2 linked regions of the Arabidopsis thaliana genome follow. The protein of the gene in region 1 purifies or fractionates together with the protein of each later gene. This does not show direct contact. Each region holds a gene or a part of one and is shown on either strand. Other genes may lie near its edges.

Evidence for each region.
Region 2: the proteins of SEP3 (region 1) and REF6 purify together in Arabidopsis thaliana (affinity purification with mass spectrometry, with the first as the bait; one study listed by BioGRID). This does not show direct contact.

Annotation. Positions count from the first base shown.
Region 1 is NC_003070.9:8,593,049-8,597,914, forward strand, and holds SEP3 (K-box region and MADS-box transcription factor family protein), read right to left. Parts: upstream 3,051-4,866; 5' UTR 2,815-3,050; coding exon 2,630-2,814; intron 1,844-2,629; coding exon 1,759-1,843; intron 1,650-1,758; coding exon 1,582-1,649; intron 1,498-1,581; coding exon 1,398-1,497; intron 1,320-1,397; coding exon 1,278-1,319; intron 1,195-1,277; coding exon 1,153-1,194; intron 1,068-1,152; coding exon 925-1,067; intron 833-924; coding exon 742-832; 3' UTR 528-741; downstream 1-527. UniProt on the Arabidopsis thaliana protein: Probable transcription factor active in inflorescence development and floral organogenesis.
Region 2 is NC_003074.8:17,933,548-17,941,389, forward strand, and holds REF6 (relative of early flowering 6), read left to right. Parts: upstream 1-1,708; 5' UTR 1,709-2,061; coding exon 2,062-2,941; intron 2,942-3,140; coding exon 3,141-3,219; intron 3,220-3,350; coding exon 3,351-3,418; intron 3,419-3,499; exon of another isoform or gene 3,500-3,523; coding exon 3,524-3,674; intron 3,675-3,756; coding exon 3,757-4,379; intron 4,380-4,449; coding exon 4,450-4,941; intron 4,942-5,038; coding exon 5,039-5,421; intron 5,422-5,502; coding exon 5,503-6,909; 3' UTR 6,910-7,245; downstream 7,246-7,842. Other genes in the region: AT3G48425 (DNAse I-like superfamily protein), read left to right, coding at 309-370, 483-569, 668-771, 861-946. UniProt on the Arabidopsis thaliana protein: Histone demethylase that demethylates 'Lys-27' (H3K27me) of histone H3, thus acting as a positive regulator of gene expression. Demethylates both tri- (H3K27me3) and di-methylated (H3K27me2) H3K27me.

The sequences.
Region 1 (4,866 bases):
GCCATTACTATACATCAAGAGGCACCATGTTTTTGTTTGTTCTCTTGGCCTTGGTCATGGAATATAAGCATTAACAACCTTAGTAATAGAAAAGCATTCTACTCTTGATCAAACAAACTCAAAATTCAAGAAACGCTTCCTTAGATCGTAACTCTAATCGTCGGGTGAATTCACATTTCAATTGAGATCTTAAACCTATGTTTAAGGTATCTGATAAACTTGTCTATCAAATCTTCATGATAATTGAGAATATCAACTACCTGCAAGATATATTAGAACCAAATTTATCTTCTTCTCTATAGTAATACTCCCTCTACAAAAGTATAGATATAGCCAAAATGATATAGGTGGGGCCTACAGATACATAAGCAGTGGCCAGTGAGTTGCTCTTTAACAAGAGAGATAAACAAGCGGTCCCTTCTCAAGACTCAAACAAAAAAACACCAAATAGATAGTGTGAGACTGTGAGTTATATCGTACCATAAATCATAGTTAAGAGAATTGGTTAGATAACATGCATAAAATGGGAGTTATTTTAAAAGAAACTGGATCAGGAAGTTTAGGAGTAATGGGTAAAAATAGGAAGCAAAATTGTCGAAAAAATTATTGAATAATAGAAGGGCATAAACATTACACACACACATGCACACAAGACAGAAAACATGAGAGAGGTAATAAAATAGAAACATCATCTTAAAAATGTCAAAAAAAAAAGAGAGGGATTGATTAAGTGAGAAAGATTCAAATAGAGTTGGTGTCATAAGGTAACCAACCCAACATGTAATTATTCACACTTGGTCCTGCTCCCATTCCATCTTGTTGCCCCTGATACCTGCTCCATAAAATTTAGTAGTTTGAGATACTTTCTTAAGAAAAGCTTATAATAGAACTCAAATCAAATTGGTTATACTAGTCTAAAGTTACCCGATCTGAAGAATGGGTTCACATTCCAAAGGCTGGAAGAAAGCTTGGGAGTGTTGTTGTTGTTGATGATGATGACGACCGTAGTGATCAACCTCTTCTTGGTTAGGGTTCAGCTGGAGTGGCATCTGATACCCATCAGCTAACTGTCACATATGTATATACACACACACATTATAACCAAATTTAGTGATGCATTAATTTGGTGATATGAGAATGTATATTAATTACCCTTAGTCTTAGAGTTTTATTTGTCTCAGTCAGCATGCGTTCCTGCTCCAAATATTTGTGTTTTCTTGGTTACATTACTTTTAGATGAGGAATTTAGAGAGGAGAATGAGTGTTTCTTTATTTACCTTACTCTGAAGATCGTTGAGCTGGTCAAGCATAAACTGTGTCTGCAGAATTAAACACCAAATTTAATCTTACTATGGAAATAGATCAGTGTATAAAGATATTGATGAACAAAGTAGTACCCTGAGAGCTCTGATCTGCTTCAAGGAAGAATCAAGCTGTCTCTCAAGTGACTCAAGCTCCTTTGTACTTAGAGGTCCAAGATCTTCTCCCAACAGATTCCTATTTCAACATCAAAACCATCAAAAAAATCTACTAAAAAAACAAACACTCTCTGAAGGTAGCTGAAGAAGCTAATTAGTTTACCTTTGGGTTCTCTGTAAGGCGTCATAACGCTCCTTAAGCTTGAGATACTCCTGCTGGCTACTAAGTTCCTGAAGTATATGACAAATTATAACATTAATCATTTGACTCTAAAAATCAAAGTAAAAATTGAGAGTAATTAATTAAGGTAATTAGAAGAAAGAGAAGAGAATTGGGTACAACTGCTAAGGCCTCTCTTGAAGGCACATTGGGTTCTGGTGCTCCATAGTTACACTTTTGGTACCTCTCCAGTGTCCGAAGCATGCTTCACACCACACAAAAACATCATTTCTTCCATTAATCTTACTCATCAAGTTCAAAACATGTTTTTAAAAATGGGATTTTTAACTGTTTCCTAGGGTTTACAACAAAATCTGTTAGTCTTTTAAGAGAAGATCTAAAGAACCCAGAAAAAAGGATGAATCCCATCCCCAAGTATACATATCCAACGGACTTTAGATGAATTTGACATTAGCGTCAATTCAAAACCCAAAATTGGAAACCCCTAAGGGTTACTAAAATGGATTGTCGTGGAAACAATATCCCCCTATGAACTTATATCAATCTGACAACAAAATTGAGTGATTTGATCGAATTGGACGACCCCCAGAATCAAAAGGTGGAAACTTTAAGCTTATGTGAATTAAAGAGTACTCACAAGAGAAATTAACCCTAATTTCATATCAGATAGATTGTTCTTCTCTCAGATAATGTGAATTAAGTAGACAAACAAATAAGCAATAAAATATAAGAAAAAAAACTTTGATAGATGTAAAGAGAAATAGAAAAAAAATCAAAAACAAAAATGGAAATCAAAGAGAAACACAAAAGAACATCAAAAAAGCAAACTTGTTATAAAATGATACAGATTTGGGGTATCCCAAATTTTTTTTCCTCTTTGCTTCTTTTAAAAGGATATGATAGAACACGTACGTACGACACAACAACACATCACAGAGAGACCCATACATACAAGACATTTTTGTGTTACTTAATATGTATATAAAATGTTTATGTTATAAGTAATATATATACAAAAGTAGATATATACCTCGAACTACTGCAAAACTCGTACAGCTTTCCTCTATTTGAGAAGATGATGAGAGCAACTTCTGCATCACATAGAACTGAAAGCTCGTATGCTTTCTTCAAAAGACCATTCCTTCTCTTTGCAAACGTCACTTGCCTATTGATCTTGTTCTCTATCCTCTTCAATTCTACTCTCCCTCTTCCCATTTTCTTTTTCTTTCTCCTCTCCCAAAAGATATCTCAATCTCTCTCTCTCTCTTTCCTTGCAAGCAATTCTATATATATATGAGCCTCTCTCTTTCTTTCTTTCTTTCTTTCTTTTTTTCTTTATATTTTTTTTATCTATCTTATATTGCTTTTTAAAGTGTACATATACATTTGTACAAATCTCACAACACTTCTCTCAAAGTACATATAAACATGTCAGCTTCATTACTTGAAATATTCTCTTTCTAATATACTCTCAGACTCAACTATATACCCTCCAATTATTGTGTACCAAAGACCCTCATAGGATTTATTCAAATATTGCAAAATTGAAAGAAAAAATGTTAATTACCCTATCCATGCTTAGATATTTTCAAACCTAAAAATTTGGTGCATTTTTGTGTTTATACATAATTAGTAAAGGAGAGAAATTAGAGTTCCACTCTCACCAACACTTTATTCTAGCTAGTGGTTTAATTTTTCAATTTCAGTCCATATTTAGTTTAGAGAAAAATGTGATTCTGCCAAGAAAGTTTGATGCTTTTTTACTTAGTTCATCGAATTATAGAGATTAATAATTGAAAATCCTACAAAAAACCCTAACATTTAAAACCATTTTTATTTAATACGTTGAGAGAGACAGAGATATTAAAATCGTATGATTCGTAAGAGTGTGATGTTGAAAATGAGAGATTAATAATGGAAGGTGGAGATGGCGCGTGTGCGATGAGTGATTGCAACCCTAAACAGAAAATAGTAGGGCAATGAATGAGTTTGGACACGTGTCGACATCTCGATGGTAGGGTCTGATAAATCCACCTGATTTTTTTATATAAAAAATTTTGATTTTATAAATTTTTCTTTTTTACTTATAAAATCGAGTTCAGGGAATCATGTGACCTAACCTTAACTAGGTGAAGCCTCGTACGATTTTCCCAACTTACGGAACTACCCTTGTGATTGGTTAAAAATGTAAAGTAAAACACTACTCGTTTGTGATGTTTTCATGATATCTAAAACTCTTACTGCTAGTTTTGATAAATCTTACTGCTAGATTTGCTTTTCCTTTTCCAATCTATAGTACTGCTAAGATTATTTTTGTTAGTGAAATTAACAGAAATGTCTTTTGTATTAGTCTACTTTATAAACCACCATTTTGATGTGGCCAAAAAAAAAACCATGTTGATAAATTCAGTTTGGTAAGAGAGTCTGATGAGACACAAAAAAAATTATGGGAAAGAAAGAAAACATAAATGGATAAAATAAACAGAGATTTGAATATAAGATATAGTTTATTTTGGTTATCTTAGGGTTCGTCCGATGTTAGAGATCATGTCTGACCGAAAGTCTTAGTGCTTTTTGGTTGCAGACGTAATTGCTTTATTCTGACCGGTAAGTAGGTGATGGACACAAAGGTATGATTCAATTAGAAAAACTAAACATAGCATTATTATTCTGTTTGGTTATATTTAAACCCATTAGCTTCTTTTCTCTTTTGATTTGCACATTGAATCGCTTATTAATCTCACTTGGTCATGGTCTCATAGAAGCATTTTAAGCAAATTTGCACGAGTTTTATATATTGTCTTCATGTGGGACTCAAGATTTATGATATTTTAATTTGCTTCAATTGGTTTTAGATAAAATAAAATTAAATATGGTTATATAATTATAAGTTACAATCAAAATTAGTTAGAAGGACGTATGAGAAGAAAGGGAAGGGCAAGTACGAATTCACTTGTTATCAGATCTGGTCGTATAATTCAATGTAAGATGATGACAATTGATCGAGATGATGTGCATTAAACCAAAAGAGAAACTAAAGTACATTCAACTATTTATTTATTGATGTCATACCAATGAAGTTAAAAACATATATCTTCTATCTTTTCCTTCTCTTTTTGTACTCTTTCCTTCGTTTTGTGATCCCCCAAAAATTTTCAAATCTTCCCCATTGATAATATATGTGGTGAATTACAAGGTATGAGACCAACAATGATATATACTATATTTAGTTTTTAAACGGTTTCAAGTGTCAAACATTTCAAGAAA
Region 2 (7,842 bases), on another chromosome or scaffold:
CCATATTTTGTACGATTTATTCATTATCATTATAGCTTTTATCTAAAAACAGAGCTGGCTCTCAATAATGTTATTTTCCGTCGGCCTTTTATATCTCTTCCTATCTTGTCTCTTCATCTGCATTGTGACCCTGCTATTGTTGATGACTTTACTACGCCTGTATTTCTCTTCCTATCTTGTCTCTTCATCTGCATTGTGACCCTGCTATTGTTGATGACTTTACTACGCCTGAACCGAAAGGTTCTCCGTGAGATGGACCTTTAAATCATACAATGACTACAGTGGTTTTGAGTTTTTTGATTATGCAGGACTGCGGACAGCCTGGATTTACACCATCTGAGAGAGGACGCTTCGGGGCAACTATAAAAGAGTATGCGTAATATGTCTTTGCACTGCGAAGTCTTAGTAGTAGTACTTTCTAGAATACAGATTAGAGTTACTAAACATGTGATTATAAATTATATTTATGGGAACTGTTACAGAGGAAGGCTTGTTGATGCATACCGGTATCTACACAAGGAGCAAGAAATGGAAAGTGGCTTCTCATGGTCGGGGAATCCCATTGGAAAGTGAGTGGATACTACACATTTTAGTTTTATGGCTTGGAGTCCAGAACCTCCGCATGTTTCTAAAGCTATATATTGATTTTTTGTTTTGGTTGCCATAGGTACCGGGGAAAGAGGATGAGGATCGACTATTTTCTGGTCTCTGAACAACTCAAAGACCGTATAGTTTCTTGTAAGATGCACGGTCGTGGGATAGAACTTGAAGGTGCCATAGATAAACCTGTTCATCACACAGATTCATAGAAGATTATTATTAGCTCTTTTTGCAACAATTTGGTTCTTGATTTGTTTCAGGTTTCCATGGGAGTGATCATTGTCCGGTTACACTCGAGCTTTCGAAGCCATCTTCAGAAATGGAACAGAACCAGGTGTCAAACTAAAATCATCTTCTTCTGTATTAGAACATAAGGCCTTCTTAGGAACAAGCCAAAGCTTATTTTATCAGAGAATTTAATTTTTACTTTGCCGAGAGATGCATTGAAGATTTGATTGAGGTTATTGAGACACTTATTTAGCCTTGTTACTCTGATGAACTCTCAAATGTACTTATAATTATTGTTGTGCTTATCTTAATATGTTTTATTTTCCTAAGAAATGTTGATATTTTTAATTGTGAATCTTCTTCATTTAATTATTTTTATTTATTAACTTTTGAGTCATTTCTAAAGATTTAGAGCTTTTGTTGGTGTATTTTAAGCATATTATACCCTTTGCTTTATTGTCTTAGTCAGTAGGTAGAGGCAACATTCGTTAAACCAATGGCTCATTCAAATTCTTTTTTTTGGGCTCATTCATATTCATAAAAATCAAATTTGGATTCAGCATAACAAACACAATAATATATGTAGACATTTATATCATACATTAATTTCTACTAATTTCATGAACTACCAAAGACTAAAAATGTTTAATGAGAAATATCTTTTTTAAAACCATCAAAAATTTTACTCTTAAAATTGGGATTTATGTTTGGTTTTAAAAAGGAGTTTTTGAATGTGCAAACGGATTTACAGAGAGGACAACAACAAATGTGTGTTAGAAATGGCAGAATCGTAAATAATAAGAAAATCATACCCTTTTAAAAACCATTTCTCTCTCTAACTAAGTGTTCTTTACTTGTTTTAATACAGAGATATCACAATCTCTTGCTCTGCCCAAACCCATCCCAACCCCCTAAAAAAAATACAATTTTTTCCTCTGTTTCTTTAATCCAATAAAAACAGAGAGACCTAAGAAACGAGATCAACAAAGCCCGTCGTTTTTTTCGAGGAAAAGTGAATGACCCTTTAAGAAAATAACTCTATTGGCCGGAGAAATGGTGGAGACTCGTCGATTCTCTTAAAGTTTGTTTTTTTTTCCTCTCTTCAAAATTTTTGTTCTGTTTATACTCTGTAATGGCGTTTTAATTTGATACCTAGAAGTTAAAGTGAACAAATTTTGAGAGAAAGTCTCTTTTTTTTGTTCTTCCCTGTGTGTGTGAGAGAGAGAGAGAGATATGGCGGTTTCAGAGCAGAGTCAAGATGTGTTTCCATGGCTTAAATCGTTACCGGTTGCTCCAGAGTTCAGACCTACTCTAGCAGAGTTTCAAGATCCGATCGCTTACATTTTGAAGATTGAAGAAGAAGCTTCTAGATATGGAATCTGTAAAATTCTGCCTCCACTGCCTCCTCCTTCCAAAAAAACCTCGATTTCTAATCTCAACCGTTCTCTGGCGGCAAGAGCGGCGGCGAGGGTTCGTGACGGCGGCTTTGGCGCGTGTGATTATGACGGTGGTCCCACATTCGCCACGCGCCAGCAGCAGATCGGGTTTTGCCCTAGGAAACAGCGTCCAGTGCAGAGACCTGTGTGGCAGAGTGGAGAGGAGTACTCTTTTGGTGAGTTCGAGTTTAAAGCTAAGAACTTTGAGAAGAATTATCTCAAGAAATGTGGTAAAAAGAGTCAACTCTCTGCCCTTGAAATTGAAACACTTTACTGGAGAGCCACTGTGGATAAACCCTTCTCTGTTGAGTATGCCAATGACATGCCTGGCTCGGCTTTTATCCCTCTGAGTCTGGCTGCTGCGAGGAGGAGAGAGTCTGGTGGTGAAGGAGGAACAGTTGGTGAGACCGCTTGGAACATGAGGGCAATGTCTAGAGCCGAAGGATCATTGCTTAAGTTCATGAAGGAAGAGATCCCTGGAGTTACATCACCAATGGTGTATGTTGCTATGATGTTTAGTTGGTTTGCTTGGCATGTGGAGGACCATGACCTTCATAGTCTCAATTACTTGCATATGGGTGCTGGTAAGACTTGGTACGGTGTGCCAAAGGATGCTGCTCTGGCTTTTGAGGAGGTTGTTAGGGTTCATGGTTACGGTGAAGAGCTCAATCCTCTTGGTGAGTATGATAAGTGTTATGTGTTAGTGACTCATAGTTACTCAATGTATCAATTCATTGTTCTGATTGTTGGCTTTGTTGTGTCTCTGTTCTTTTTGTTGCTTTTAAATGCTTTTCTTTCCCTCCAAAAGTTGTCAGGGGTAGAAGCTGTATGCAAGCAAACTAATTGGTTATGCCTCTTACGTTCTTGTCTTATTAGTGACATTTTCTACTCTTGGTGAGAAGACAACTGTGATGTCTCCTGAAGTATTTGTTAAAGCCGGAATACCGTGTTGCAGGTAATGGTTTTTTATGTTTGTGCTCTGTTTATCTCATCATCTTGTTGTTTGCATGTCTCTTCTTTGGTCTCTTATAATTGGCACACTTTTTCTTCTTCTGGTTTTTCACGCAAGTGGTTTTTTTGTATCAGGTTAGTGCAAAATCCTGGAGAGTTTGTCGTCACCTTTCCGGGAGCTTATCATTCGGGATTTAGTCATGGTGAGTAAGCGACCTATATTTAGTATCTTTAAGTCAACCATTCAAAGGCCTAGTATGTTGAAATAACTTATATTATCCATAAAAACAATCGTGGGGGTTGTACAGGATTTAATTTTGGAGAAGCATCTAACATTGCCACTCCCGAATGGTTGAGAATGGCTAAAGATGCTGCTATCCGGCGAGCTGCTATAAATTACCCTCCAATGGTTTCTCATCTCCAGCTACTTTATGACTTTGTATTGGCTCTAGGTTCTAGGTACTCTTTCTTTTCTATAGACACACTCAAACTTTTTAAGCTGCTTGAAGGGCTCATATAAGGTATGTTTCACTCATTGCAGAGTGCCAACAAGCATCAATCCCAAACCACGGAGTTCTAGATTAAAAGATAAGGCAAGAAGCGAAGGAGAAAGATTGACCAAAAAGCTATTTGTGCAAAACATTATCCACAACAACGAATTGCTTTCTTCTCTCGGAAAAGGATCCCCAGTGGCCCTTCTCCCACAGAGTTCCTCAGATATATCAGTTTGTTCTGACCTGCGAATTGGATCCCATTTGATAACCAACCAGGAAAACCCAATCCAGTTAAAGTGTGAGGACTTAAGTTCTGATAGTGTTGTGGTTGATCTCAGTAACGGTTTAAAGGATACAGTTTCAGTGAAAGAAAAATTTACATCTTTATGTGAAAGGAGCAGAAATCACCTAGCAAGCACGGAGAAGGACACTCAAGAAACTCTGTCTGATGCTGAAAGGAGGAAGAATGATGCAGCTGTTGCGCTTTCGGATCAAAGGCTTTTCTCTTGTGTTACATGTGGAGTCTTAAGCTTTGATTGTGTAGCTATCGTTCAACCTAAAGAAGCAGCTGCTAGATATCTCATGTCTGCAGATTGTAGCTTCTTCAATGATTGGACAGCTGCTTCTGGATCTGCAAATCTTGGTCAGGCTGCAAGATCACTTCATCCTCGTAAGTTACAGGTCGCACTTTCGGTTATTGGCTGTTATTTAGCATTTACTAACTTTTTTTCATCATGCAGAAAGCAAAGAGAAGCATGATGTAAATTACTTCTACAATGTTCCTGTTCAAACTATGGATCATTCAGTGAAGACTGGCGATCAAAAAACTTCAACAACTTCCCCGACAATAGCGCATAAAGATAATGATGTTCTTGGGATGTTAGCTTCAGCATATGGAGACTCTTCTGATTCCGAGGAAGAAGATCAAAAAGGCTTAGTTACCCCTAGTTCCAAAGGGGAAACAAAAACGTATGATCAAGAAGGTTCAGATGGCCATGAGGAGGCTAGAGATGGTAGAACTTCTGATTTTAACTGCCAGAGACTAACCAGCGAACAGAATGGGTTAAGCAAAGGCGGAAAATCATCACTTCTGGAAATAGCTTTACCATTTATTCCAAGATCTGATGACGATTCATGTCGGTTGCACGTGTTTTGTCTTGAGCATGCTGCGGAAGTGGAACAGCAACTTCGTCCTTTTGGGGGGATTAACTTAATGTTACTGTGCCATCCAGGTAACATCAAAACTACAAGATTCATTTTATTAGTATTTCTGTATCAGTTATGCAATTCTTTAGTCTTTTTCATCATTTTGACGCACAACATTTGCAGAGTACCCCAGGATAGAGGCTGAAGCAAAGATAGTTGCCGAAGAGCTCGTCATCAATCACGAATGGAATGATACTGAATTCAGGAATGTGACCCGAGAGGATGAGGAAACGATTCAGGCAGCGTTGGATAATGTTGAAGCTAAGGGTGGGAACAGTGATTGGACCGTAAAATTGGGTGTTAACCTTTCTTACAGCGCTATTCTCAGTCGCTCTCCTCTGTACAGTAAGCAGATGCCGTATAACTCCATCATATACAAGGCGTTCGGTCGCAGCTCTCCAGTAGCGAGCTCACCCTCGAAACCCAAAGTCTCTGGTAAAAGATCGTCCAGACAGAGGAAATATGTTGTTGGAAAATGGTGTGGTAAGGTTTGGATGTCACATCAGGTACTATTGTCTAACCTGAATCCATACTAATTCAGACATTAGTACACTTCTGTTTGGTTCAATTTGCTTTTCTTTCTTCAGGTGCATCCCTTTTTGCTGGAGCAGGACTTAGAGGGGGAAGAATCTGAAAGAAGTTGTCATCTTCGAGTTGCTATGGATGAGGATGCCACTGGAAAGAGATCGTTTCCTAATAATGTTTCCAGGGATTCGACAACAATGTTTGGAAGAAAGTATTGTAGGAAGAGAAAGATAAGAGCAAAGGCGGTGCCACGCAAGAAGCTTACTTCTTTTAAGAGGGAAGATGGAGTTTCTGATGACACATCAGAAGATCATTCTTATAAGCAGCAATGGAGGGCTTCCGGGAATGAGGAAGAGTCTTATTTTGAGACAGGGAACACAGCTTCTGGTGATTCATCAAATCAAATGTCTGATCCGCACAAGGGAATTATCAGACATAAAGGTTATAAAGAATTTGAGTCAGATGATGAGGTTTCAGACCGTTCACTTGGGGAAGAGTATACTGTACGGGCATGTGCAGCTTCAGAGAGCTCAATGGAGAATGGCTCTCAGCATTCAATGTATGACCATGATGATGATGATGATGATATCGACAGGCAGCCTAGGGGGATTCCAAGGAGCCAACAGACAAGAGTTTTTAGGAATCCAGTTTCATATGAGTCAGAAGATAATGGCGTTTATCAGCAAAGCGGAAGAATATCCATAAGTAATAGGCAAGCTAATCGAATGGTTGGTGAATATGATTCAGCAGAGAATTCTTTGGAGGAACGAGGCTTTTGCAGTACAGGGAAAAGGCAAACCAGGTCAACAGCCAAACGAATAGCAAAAACCAAGACAGTTCAGAGTTCGAGAGACACAAAAGGTCGCTTTTTGCAAGAATTTGCATCTGGAAAGAAGAATGAAGAATTGGATTCATACATGGAGGGACCTAGCACACGGCTTAGGGTGAGACATCAGAAGCCGTCGAGAGGGTCTTTAGAAACAAAACCAAAGAAGATTGGTAAGAAGAGAAGTGGTAATGCTTCCTTCTCCAGAGTTGCAACTGAAAAAGATGTGGAGGAAAAAGAAGAAGAAGAAGAAGAAGAAGAGAATGAGGAAGAGGAATGTGCAGCATACCAATGTAACATGGAGGGTTGCACGATGAGTTTCAGTTCGGAAAAACAGTTGATGTTACACAAAAGAAACATATGCCCAATTAAAGGCTGTGGTAAAAACTTCTTCTCACACAAGTATTTGGTTCAACACCAGCGTGTTCACTCAGACGACCGTCCTCTGAAATGTCCATGGAAGGGATGTAAGATGACGTTCAAGTGGGCTTGGTCTAGAACCGAGCACATAAGGGTTCACACAGGCGCTAGGCCTTATGTTTGCGCTGAACCGGATTGTGGTCAAACATTCAGGTTTGTCTCTGACTTCAGCCGGCATAAAAGGAAGACCGGTCATTCGGTTAAGAAGACCAACAAAAGGTGATTTAGGCTCTAACATGGAATCTATCATGAAGAAGATTACTCCATTGATCTATTAGAAGAAAATTGGATTGTACGAATATTAGGGGTTTTCTAAGTGTGTATGTCTCTCTGGTCCTCTGTCAATTCGGGATTATAAAGTCAAAGTCTTAACATTTGGAATAGCCATTGTTTGTTGCAGACGTTTTCACTTTCAGACAGATTCTCTCTTTGTTGTATTCTCTATTTTTGCAGTTGAATGAATCTGTAACAACAACAAATCCTGGTGTAGGAAAAGCATTGTGTTACTCAAGTATTTGACATATATGGTTGTATACGTGGCTTATCCTGGTTGGTTGACAGTCAGAGTTCATCGCCGTGGACTTCATTTGACTTTGATAAAGACTCAAACCTACCAAATTGCTAATGAATGACATTACCTGTGTCAACTAGGATGTAAAACTCTCTGACTTCAGCACACGGCACAAACGAAAGACCAAATGACTTAACATTTGGAATTGCCATTGTTTGTTGCATAAAGATTCATCTCTTTGTTGTGTTCTCTCTCGTCTTCTTCAGTTAGTCTATAATAACAATCCTGGTGTAGAGAGAGACTTTGATTTGATAAATAAAGGAGCTGCTTGTACAATTAAAAGCTATGTTGCATAATTATGAAATATCAAAATACGATAAGGACTTAGTTGCAATTCTCAAAGAAATATCTGAAACGCATAATTTTAAGTTAAAAAAGTGTGCATGAAATGTGAACTATTGGACCTTGTCAACAAATTAAAGCAACGGTTTCTTTGAGATTCTCATTCGTGACGCTATAAACGACAAATGTAATAAAGTATCCATAAAGGAAACAACTTTATTCTTCTTCTTCCACCCTTTGATCTTCTTCTTCAATTACCTCCCTGAAAATTAGGGTTTTTGTAATGTGATTTCGTAAGAAACC